2 linked regions of the Caenorhabditis elegans genome follow. The protein of the gene in region 1 interacts with the protein of each later gene in a pairwise test. Each region holds a gene or a part of one and is shown on either strand. Other genes may lie near its edges.

Evidence for each region.
Region 2: the proteins of blos-8 (region 1) and sca-1 interact in a two-hybrid assay, tested with the Caenorhabditis elegans proteins (one large-scale study listed by BioGRID).

The regions. Positions count from the first base shown.
Region 1 is NC_003284.9:15,428,981-15,433,477, reverse strand, and holds blos-8 (BLOC-1-related complex subunit 7), read left to right. Parts: upstream 1-2,279; 5' UTR 2,280-2,362; coding exon 2,363-2,473; intron 2,474-2,535; coding exon 2,536-2,598; intron 2,599-2,651; coding exon 2,652-2,716; intron 2,717-3,325; coding exon 3,326-3,467; 3' UTR 3,468-3,559; downstream 3,560-4,497.
Region 2 is NC_003281.10:10,811,290-10,818,830, reverse strand, and holds sca-1 (Calcium-transporting ATPase), read left to right. Parts: upstream 1-1,986; 5' UTR 1,987-2,020; coding exon 2,021-2,053; intron 2,054-2,103; coding exon 2,104-2,185; intron 2,186-2,232; coding exon 2,233-2,447; intron 2,448-2,871; coding exon 2,872-3,010; intron 3,011-3,064; coding exon 3,065-5,122; intron 5,123-5,177; coding exon 5,178-5,527; intron 5,528-5,577; coding exon 5,578-5,880; 3' UTR 5,881-6,299; downstream 6,300-7,541.

The DNA.
Region 1 (4,497 bases):
GGCTCGGAGGATGAGCCCGACTTTTTCCGGGTTTTAGATGGGATAAGCTGTCGAGAACAGAATATTACTAATTGCGGCGCGGGACGAAGAAGCCGAAGCCGATCAAAAATCTGAACGTGAACAAAGGAGAAACTCCTCATTCTTGGTGTGTGGTTGAGTACCTAACCCTATCTACTAACCAAAAAGTTAATGTTTTACCAAAGAACCACACAGACCAACGTTTCTTTGTCTTGGCAATGTTCGTCGACGCCGCCAACTCACACCCCACTCATACATTTTCAACAGTGTCAGCGCAAAAAAAAGACGAATCTTTCTCTTTTTCACTTCTCACTTATTCTTTTGTTCCATTGTTCCGATAATTTAAAGACAAAATGACGAGGTAGGAACAACGAATTGCCGATAGTTGGAAACGGGGGAACTTTGTGTGCAACAAGACAATTGTGGAGCACATTTCAGGTGTATACTTGTTGGGAGGTATTCGATGAATTTTCTGCAAGGTAAACAACATTATTTTAAGAGCACTTAAGTGTTATAAGCTTCTGTAATGTTCTCGATCGGTTCAGAGTCCACACGAAAAATAATGCTTTGAATTTCGAAGTAGTATGTGAAAAGGAAATTATAGTGAATAAAATAAAATAGGTGATCTTCAAAAATGGTCACGAAAGTTACCTAGGTCTAAGCATTGCTTGGCACGTCCAACAAACTTTCATTCAAACATTCTTGTTTGCTGATCTAAACTGCTGAAATTTGTCGAACATCCTTACGATGGATAAATTTTTTCAACCGGTTTTGGCCTCCATGAGTTACTGTGAGCAAGTCAAAAAAATAAATAATTACTAAATGTTTGAAAAAGTCCCACAGGCGTACTCAATTTTTAAAATATACTTACGGCCTTGCATTGTAATATTTTCCGTAAATGCAATTTTACTACAGATTGGATAAGTCTAATTATTCAATTTTGGAAACCAGCAAAATTGGTCTAAAACTGAAATGCAAAATCTTTTTAAAAACTTGAACTCTGTGATGCGCCTCGGACTTATAGTTTGTGTTCTTTCAAGCGCTCAAAAATTGGAAGAAAACAACAACCGTTCCAATTTTATTTCCGTAGAATTTTATGATCAGGAACAAAAAAGCACAACAAAATTGAGAAATACTCGCATTCCATTCCAACATTTATTAAATTATGAAATTATTTGAAAAAATAAATTAAGTAAGTGAAGAACGCCTGACAAACAGTGAACTTTTCGCAAAAAAGAATATCATTTGTGTTCCAAAAACCAGAAGCTTGCAGGCAAAAAAATCCTAGATTCTCTCAAGAGCACATAACCAAGGTTAGAGGATTTCTATACATATTTGATAAAAGCAAACAAAAACATGAATCATCTCAGTGATTTTTCCAAGTTCTGGGTAGGTTCAAAAAGTAATGAGAATTTTCAATTTGCGGTTTTACCAAAATCATAGGGGTTTATTCATTTAGGAATAATTTTATATGAATATTTATTGGTATAAGACGTTTGATCGAGCCTTAAATGTTTTGACAATCATTTGGAAGAAGACTATATTTTTGCGTTAATCTTCTTGATTAAAAAAAACCACCATGAGAACAGCTTATGGGAGTAGTTCATTTTGGAACGATAGTTCTTATATATTGGGGGGGGGGGGGGGGAATATGTTTTATTATTACGATTTTTAAATTAGAAAACCGACAAAAAAATCTGTTATTAGGGTCAAAAATATCAATTGAAATATACTATTGCATGCACTACTACTAATTAGAAAAATTCGGTATCTTGTTGGGAAACCCGCTATTTGTGAGAATGTAACTATGGGAAAATATATAGGGTAGAATGTATATTTACGGGTTCTCCTTGCAAGCATTAAAACCTCATTCTCATGATTGTTTTGCCATGTTCTTTGCTTTTTCATGTTACTTTGTTTATATGTAAGCTCTTTGAATTTTAAATGAGAATAAAAATTTCTAGTTATATTTCCATAACCGTAATTTTCCTATACAACTTGTACCTCCATTTTTCTACTTTAGCAGGTTATATCTCGGTCGTCTAAAATTTTCCAAAAAATGTTCCAACATCAAAATGTAAAAGAAAATATTTTGCACATATTTTGTTAATTAACAATTTTTCGATAAAATCAGAGAGAACCAAGATACAAAATGCAATAGTAGACAAACGGGATCATATATTTTAATATCGTTACTTGCCTTTTATGATTTTGGTCTAAAGATGCACCATCGTTACACTTCTCTTTTTCTCTACTCCTCCACACTCTCTCACCCTCCCCTCACCACTATGTCCCCCTTCGCACATTATCGATTCCTGCAGGCCTCTACAAATTCAAACTCAAAATGAGCATTTCTCTGGAGAGTAAAACAAAACTGCCTCAAAAAATTCTAGAAATCATCACAGATGGTTCAGCTTTGCTTTCGATTCCGATGAGCAGCTCTCAAGCGTCGGAGGTAAGTGATTTTCAAAACATTTTAGTGTTTAACAACTGCGATCATTTTTATTTATTTTCCAGACCCTTCTCACAAGTGCAAAACAGTTTAGTCATGTGGAACAAGTTATAGACAATACGGATAAGGTAAGATATTTCAAATTTAAGTTTAAATAAAATAATTGTAAGCCCTTTTTTAGCTTCTGCGAGAAATCGAACAGATGGTAGACGGGGTAACCAAAAATGCTGAGGATATGGAAAAAGGGTGAGTTTTCAAAAAACCATACTTGAAAAAAATTTAGACGGAGTGTCGTTTTTGGTATTTTTGGTTTAATATTTATCAAATAACCTCAAAATGACATATAAAAAAAATGCAGAAATCATTGTGTGAAACACGATGTAAAATGTGAAAAAACAACGTCGACAATTTTTTTGACAAGACTTGCGCAGGAATTTGTATTCGCGGAGTACTTTTGCTAAATTATTGGCATTGAAGCTTTTTTAATTTTGAATAAATTTGATAATTTAAGTTTAATTCAAATGTGCCTTCAAATCCGTACAAATATTTAAGCTCACCGTACAAAAAAATCCTGCAAGATAGTATTTCTGTCCGCAGCCGTCACTATTTTTTTCGGCTAGTACTTTTTGTTTGATATATATGGTATATTGTGGTCTAATGGAGCATTTTTCAAAAGCATCGAATGTGAACAGTGTATTGAAAAAAGTTTCAAACAATAATAATGGAAAAATTATATAATTTATTCACTGACTTTAATCATAATTTTTAAAGCATAGGTTATCAAAAAGTTGTATTGTTTTTTTGTTTAAAAACCTACAAAATGTGTTATTCTATGTATTATATCTTGGATTTCAGATTGGATATTGTATGCGACGTTCAAGAATGTCTTCAAAAGGTGGAACGTCAAAACTACTACAGCGCGGTGCCCAAGTCATTTTCTGCCGACAGTTTTTCATCTTCTGTCGCCGGTGAACGTCCCAATCCGCCGAATAATTAATTTACGTTATGTAATGATTGTAACAATAATTTTTAACTAATTTAAATCTCAAAGATTTGATCTCAGTGCAAATAAAAGGTGTAATTAATTAAGTTTTAAAAATGTTTTGGAAGAAATAAATAAAATGTAGAACTCACGCATTCCCGTAAGTGCTCTGTTATTTGGTAAGTACATGATAGTCATTTAAATACAAAAAAAACTAAAATTCATTAAACTATTCTAATGTAACTTTTCCAATTCTTCGATCCAACAACAGTTTTTCCAAAAAAAATGTATCTGATTAATAGACAATTGTTTTATTTCTACATATGATAGAGAGAATGGATTAGAAAAACAGAATTTCAAACTGAAATTTCTTGAAAATTACTATTCAGTGATTGTAAATTTTGATAATTTTCACCGGCCGGGACCGCAACTACAATTCAGCACTTTTTTCAAATTTTTGAACCCGCATAAAATAATTTGAAATTTTTTTTATTGAGAATTCACACTATGAAATTCACGCTTTGGGCATTTGATGTTGTTAATTTATTTAAATTTTTAAAAAAACGACATAATTTCACCTTAAGCAGTTGCTAGCATGCAAGGATCAGGGATGTTAAAATAAAATTCATAATTTTTCGTATCTGGAGTCATTTTGTCAGATTTCACTTTAAAAAAATATCGCCAAGAACATGAGTAGCTACACTTCTCAATAAGTGACGTTTCCGTGGCGTTTCTATGGAAAAGCGTTACTGAATTTTGTTCAGTTGTAAAAATTTATTTTAGTCGACAAAATGAATTATTTTTCCAAGTTGCAAGTACATTTTGCACTAAACATAATAAGGTATTCTTAAAGTAAAAGACAAAAAATATGCAGGTTTCTGTAATATTTTGAGATAAGTTTTTCAAATAACCAAAAACTCGAATTTCTACATTTTTGCCATTGATAATTTTTGAGTAGTAGCCAGAATAATTTTTTATGGAGCATTGGTGTACATTTTTTATAAATCCAAGTTTTTCGAAAATTTGGCAGGGCGCCAAATTTGAA
Region 2 (7,541 bases), on another chromosome or scaffold:
TCCGCTGTCTATTTGCACTCGGCTCTTCACACCGTGCTTCCTCTCACTTGACCCAACAGGAAAAAAAAACATCACGTCTGAGACGGTGAATTGCCTTATCAAGAGCGTCGTCTCTTTCACCCAGTAACAAAAAAAATTTGGTTTCTTTACTTTATATTTATGTAGGTCACAAAAAAAAAGTGATGCAGTTTTGTGGGTCGGTTGTCTCCACACCACCTCCGCCTCCAGCAGCACACAATCATCTTCGTGTGTTCTCGACGATTCCTTGTATGCCGCGGTCGTGAATGCACCACATTCGACGCGCAACTACACACCACACTCACTTTCGGTGGTATTACTACACGTCATCGTTGTTCGTAGTCTCCCGCTCTTTCGTCCCCACTCACTCCTCATTATTCCCCTTGGTGTATTGATTTTTTTTAAATGGTACACCACTCCTGACGTTTCTACCTTCTTGTTTTCCGTCCATTTAGATTTTATCTGGAAATTTTTTTAAAATTTTAGGCCAGAGAGTTCTAGTTCTTGTTCTAAAAGTCTAGGTCAGACATACATTTTCTATTTCTCATCAAAAAAAAAGTTGATAAAGAAAACTGGTTATTCAGAAAGAGTGTGTCTCGTTGAAATTGATTCAAAAAAAAATTCCCACCCCTCGCTTGTTTCTCAAAATATGAGATCAACGGATTTTTTCCTTCTCGATTCAATTTTTTGCTGCGCTCTGTCTGCCAAAGTGTGTGTGTCCGAGCAAAAGATGAGAGAATTTACAAACAGAAATGAAAAAAAGTTGGCCAAATAATGAAGTTTTATCCGAGATTGATGGGAAAGATATTAATGTTCTTTACGGTTTGGAGGGGAGAGAGAGATAGATTTTCGCATCAAACTCCGCCTTTTACATGTCTTTTAGAATCTAAAATAGATTTTTCTCATCATTTTTAATAGAAAATCGAGAAATTACAGTAATTTCGCAATTTTCTTGCCAAAAATACACGAAATTTGTGGGTCTCGCCACGATCTCGGTCTTAGTGGTTCATTTGGTTTAAAAGTTTATAAAATTTCAAATTCTAGTGTTTAATTTCCGCATAATTGGACCTAAAATGGGTTTTTGTCATCATTTTCAACAAGAAATCGTGAAAATCCTGTTGTTTCGCAATTTTCTTTTCAAAAATACACGAAATATATGGTAATTTCCCGAAATATTGAGGGTCTCGCCACGATTTCAGTCACAGTGGCCAGGATTTATCACGAAAAAAGTTCGCCTAGTCTCACATTTCCGGAAAACCGAATCTAAATTAGTTTTTTGTCATCATTTTGAACAAAAAATCGAGACATCCCTATAGTTTCGCAATTTTCGTCGCTTTTCTCTCCAAAAATGACAGTCTAGAATTAAAATTCGCTGGAACTGGGACCATGATATCTTTTCTCCCCGTTTTTCATTTTATTTTTTATTACACTGGATTGACTAAAGGTCACCACCACCGCCAGTGTGTGCCATATCACACACACACACACACACAATGTCGAGATTTTATGTGTTATCCCTGCTTGATTTCGTTCCGTTGTCTCTCTCTCTCTATTCATCTTTTGAGCCGAGAAGCTCCAGAGAATGGAGCACACAGGATCCCGGCGCGCGATGTCGTCGGGAGATGGCGCCGCCTGGGAAGCCGCCGAGAGATATCAGGGAAGATCGTCTGATTTCTCCTCGGATGCCACCTCATCTCTCGAGTTTCTCCGCCTGTTACTCCCTGCCGAACCTGATATTTCCCGTTGTCGTAAAGAGATGTTTTTATTTTACTTTACACCGGGTCCTCTCTCTCTGCCAGCACAGCTCAGTGTTGGCTGTGTGCTCGGGCTCCTGCCACCGGCGGCCTCATCTTCTTCTTCTTCTTCTCTCCTGCTCTCGCTTATCACTTCTTCATTCATTCTTATTCCTTTTCATCATCAAACTAGCATTTCTTACTTTATTTATTTTTTTCAATTTTCAATTTTCAGATAAAACCAAACTACTTGGGTTACAGCCGTCAACATGGAGGACGCGCATGCCAAAGACGCCAATGAGGTACTTTTATAGTTTTTAAATTTTAGTTTTTAATACAATTTATTTTCCAGGTGTGCAAATTCTTCGGAACGGGTCCGGAGGGATTGACTCCACAGCAAGTTGAAACATTGAGGAACAAATATGGAGAAAATGGTTGGTTTTTTACATGGATTTCTCATTAAAAATTGAATTTTTTCCAGAAATGCCCGCCGAAGAGGGAAAATCACTGTGGGAGCTGATTCTCGAGCAATTCGACGATCTTCTCGTCAAGATTCTCCTCCTCGCCGCCATCATCTCGTTTGTGCTCGCCCTTTTCGAAGAGCACGAAGATCAGACAGAAGCAGTGACGGCGTTCGTCGAACCGTTCGTCATCCTTCTCATTCTTATTGCCAACGCGACCGTCGGAGTGTGGCAGGTAGGAACAACACAGACAGGCGCACGCGCTGAAAGAAAATAAGAAGAAGAAGAAAAAGCACAGTTGTTTTCTGTGTTTTTGTAGATCAAAAGAAAGGAACTAGGAGTGATTGCACAGAGAGAGAGAGAGAGAAATAATGTCTTTTTGACTTGTTTTTGTTGGTGAGAGAGATAGGGAAAAAGAGTCCCTAAAGAAAAAATAGTGTAACGGGCGGTCCGGAAGAAATGCTCTTTGCGCCGAAAAGTTTTTGAAAAAAGAAGAAAATGATGAAGGAAAGGCGTGCGTCATGAGCTTCGCATTTACGTACGCAAAAAGTGAGGGATATGTGAAAAAGATATTGGGTGATAGAATAGTTGATGGATTGGGCTGCACTATTTGCCTCAATTTGCCACAAATTTCCATCTAATTTGTCATAATTTTCCAGGAACGAAATGCTGAATCGGCCATCGAAGCGCTCAAGGAATACGAACCAGAAATGGCCAAGGTCATCCGATCCGGACACCACGGAATTCAGATGGTTCGCGCTAAGGAACTCGTGCCAGGAGATCTTGTCGAAGTTTCAGGTTAGCAAAAACTTTTTTTTTTAACTTTCAAATTTTAAACCATATATTTTTCAGTCGGAGACAAGATCCCAGCCGATCTCCGTCTTGTGAAGATCTACTCCACCACCATCCGTATCGATCAGTCCATCCTCACCGGAGAATCTGTGTCTGTTATCAAGCACACCGACTCTGTGCCAGATCCACGCGCTGTTAACCAGGACAAGAAGAATTGTCTGTTCTCGGGAACCAATGTCGCATCTGGAAAGGCTCGTGGAATCGTCTTCGGAACCGGATTGACCACTGAAATCGGAAAGATCCGTACCGAAATGGCTGAGACCGAGAATGAGAAGACACCACTTCAACAGAAGTTGGACGAATTCGGAGAGCAACTTTCCAAGGTTATCTCTGTTATTTGCGTTGCTGTTTGGGCTATCAACATTGGACATTTCAACGATCCAGCTCACGGTGGATCATGGGTTAAGGGAGCAATCTACTACTTCAAAATCGCCGTTGCTCTTGCCGTCGCTGCTATTCCAGAAGGACTTCCAGCTGTCATCACCACGTGCCTTGCCCTCGGAACTCGCCGTATGGCCAAGAAGAACGCTATTGTAAGATCCCTTCCATCCGTCGAAACTCTTGGATGCACATCTGTTATCTGCTCTGACAAGACTGGAACTCTCACCACCAACCAGATGTCTGTGTCAAAGATGTTCATCGCTGGACAAGCTTCTGGAGACAACATCAACTTCACCGAGTTCGCCATCTCCGGATCCACCTACGAGCCAGTCGGAAAGGTTTCCACCAATGGACGTGAAATCAACCCAGCTGCTGGAGAATTCGAATCACTCACCGAGTTGGCCATGATCTGCGCTATGTGCAATGATTCATCTGTTGATTACAATGAGACCAAGAAGATCTACGAGAAAGTCGGAGAAGCCACTGAAACTGCTCTTATCGTTCTTGCTGAGAAGATGAATGTTTTCGGAACCTCGAAAGCCGGACTTTCACCAAAGGAGCTCGGAGGAGTTTGCAACCGTGTCATCCAACAAAAATGGAAGAAGGAGTTCACACTCGAGTTCTCCCGTGATCGTAAATCCATGTCCGCCTACTGCTTCCCAGCTTCCGGAGGATCTGGAGCCAAGATGTTCGTGAAGGGAGCCCCAGAAGGAGTTCTCGGAAGATGCACCCACGTCAGAGTTAACGGACAAAAGGTTCCACTCACCTCTGCCATGACTCAGAAGATTGTTGACCAATGCGTGCAATACGGAACCGGAAGAGATACCCTTCGTTGTCTTGCCCTCGGAACCATCGATACCCCAGTCAGCGTTAGCAACATGAACCTCGAAGACTCTACCCAATTCGTCAAATACGAACAAGACATCACATTTGTCGGAGTCGTCGGAATGCTTGACCCCCCAAGAACTGAAGTTTCGGACTCGATCAAGGCTTGTAACCACGCTGGAATCCGTGTCATCATGATCACCGGAGACAACAAGAACACCGCTGAGGCTATCGGAAGAAGAATCGGACTCTTCGGAGAGAACGAGGATACCACTGGAAAAGCTTACACTGGACGTGAATTTGACGATCTTCCACCAGAGCAACAATCTGAAGCCTGCCGCAGAGCTAAGCTTTTCGCCCGTGTCGAGCCATCTCACAAGTCCAAGATTGTCGATATCCTTCAATCCCAGGGAGAGATTACTGCTATGACCGGAGACGGAGTCAACGACGCTCCAGCTTTGAAGAAGGCCGAAATCGGAATTTCTATGGGATCAGGAACTGCTGTCGCCAAGTCTGCATCTGAAATGGTTCTTGCTGACGATAACTTCGCATCCATTGTGTCTGCTGTCGAAGAAGGACGTGCTATTTACAACAACATGAAACAATTCATCAGATATCTCATCTCATCTAACGTCGGAGAAGTCGTCTCCATCTTCATGGTCGCCGCACTCGGAATTCCAGAGGCTCTCATTCCAGTTCAACTTCTCTGGGTTAACTTGGTCACTGACGGTCTTCCAGCCACTGCTCTCGGATTCAATCCACCAGATCTTGACATTATGGACAGACATCCACGTTCAGCCAACGATGGACTCATCTCTGGATGGCTCTTCTTCAGATATCTTGCTGTCGGAAGTACGTTTAAAAAATTCCCCTAAAAAAGTATAATTCTAAAATTGAAATTTTCCAGCCTACGTCGGAGTTGCCACCGTCGGAGCCTCAATGTGGTGGTTCTTGTTGTACGAGGAGGGACCACAGATCACCTACTACCAGCTCACTCACTGGATGAGATGTGAAATCGAGCCAGACAACTTTGCCGATCTTGACTGCGCCGTATTCGAGGACAATCACCCGAACGCCATGGCTCTGTCCGTGCTTGTCACCATTGAGATGCTCAACGCCATCAACTCACTTTCCGAGAATCAATCGCTTTTAGTGATGCCACCATGGAAGAACATCTGGCTGATGGCCGCCATTTCCCTTTCGATGTCTCTTCACTTTGTCATTCTCTACGTTGACATCATGGCCACCATCTTCCAGGTATCACAATTAATCATATATTAATCGAAACATCTAATTCAAATCTTCAGATCACCCCTCTCAACTGGGTCGAATGGATCGCCGTGTTGAAGATCTCACTGCCAGTGCTCCTTCTCGATGAAATTCTCAAGTTCATCGCCAGAAACTACATCGACGGTAAGCCGGAGACGGTCGGCGCGAAGGCACGTAGTGCCATCTCGCTGCTCGCCTGGGTGTCTGTGACGCTCGCCTACTTTGCGTGGATGTTGGGCCCGTACGCCGAGCTCATTAACCATGCGCTCGTCGGTCCATCTGTCGATCCGTCGAAATTCGACGCGGTTGTCACGCCCGACAAGTTACATAACGAATTGTGATTGAAGTTCTTCTAACCCCCAAACCAACCGCCTCTCAAACAACTTGTGATGATTTCTCTTTATTTTCTCTCTCTTTCTTGTTCTAATCATTTTGGGCCTTTTTCCCTTTTTCTCTCTGCAGTGTGTTAACTGATCCATAATCCTTCGTGTAAACCCCCCTCTCCCTACTTTTAGGATTTCTTCCTCGTTGCTCATTGTATTTTGTCCAAATCGCCACAATTTCCCTACAAATATATATGTTTTTTTTGCTAATTTTTTGTGTTTCCCTTCCTTCTTGTCCACTGAAAGTTCTACGTCTCTCGCTCTCCACATCCCCATTGTTCTCCCCTTTTTTCATAATAATTTATTATTATCCTTTTTTTAAATTAATTTTTGTTGCGTGTGAATCTATTAGGAGCTCACAAATAAAAGTGATCCTTTAAAAAACCTTACTTCCTTCTGTTTTTTCTCTAACCTAACCAATGTGTCTGTTCAGGGAGTGCCTCTTTTCTTTACCGAATGGTGTGCAATTTTGTCGACTGTCGATCTCGTCCATGGCAATGCAGGATTTGAAACTAAATTTCCCTGGAAAAAGAAATAATTTTGGTGATTTTCAGTTGAAGCTCCAATCAAGGATAAACGCGACTAAAAATGACAGTGCTCCCTCAATCAGAGTGAGCCCAGCCGCCGCCCATCTCATTTTTCAGACTCTTTCATATTTTCTAAGTTTTCCAATTTTTTTTCTTTTGTAGTGCGATCGTTTTCGTTTCGAGACCCGAAATCGAAAGGATCTCTTTTAGAGATCTTTAGGATCTTTTTTCTTTGCTCAACTCATCATTCTTTGTTTTTTCTTCTATATCCTCTTGTTGACGGTGATCAGACAAATTTGTTAGAAATATTATTACATTTCCTTTAGGTTTCTTCTATTAAAAAAAAAGAAAACTTCTGCTAAATTCGTGTACGTTGTCTCTCCCATTTCTCATTAAAAATCGATATTAATTGTAATTTTTGGTTTGTCCTCCAGTGTCGTGTGCGCCATCGATGGAAATAAAAAAGTTTCAAAACTATTATAGCTTTTCTTTTTATGAAAAATATAAAATACAATTAGAATGTTTTTGTTAAATGCGATACGGTGTGCGCCTTTAAAGAGTAGAGTACTGTAGTTCCAAAATTTTGTTGGTGCGGGATTTTCATTGATTTTTCATCGTTTTTCGACAAAAATATATTTATTTATTGAAAAAAGTTAAATAAAACTATTAAAAACACAGAATTTTTAACAAATTGTGAAAAACACATGAAAAATCGATGACAATTCTACAGTAACGAACATTTTGAATTACAGTAATCTTTAAAGGCGCGCACACGTTTGCATTTAATTAAAATGTGTCGTGTCGAGACCGACTACCACGTCTCGTTATTATAGAACGAGCAATTACAGCCTAACATCAACTCAGAACAAACCAGGATCCCACGCAAGTTTAAAGGAGCATGCTGGGTATCACAACGATTTTTTGAAGAGAACGAGGCCCCACGAAACGGGGAGCAGAACGAAAAGGGGATCTGCAAAAAGGGGATCTGCAAAAAGGGGATCTGCGAAAAGGGGAGATATGAAAAGGGGAGATACGAAAAGGGGAGCTGGCACTGTGCCAAACGCACAAAACGCAATTTTTCTCACGCAACGC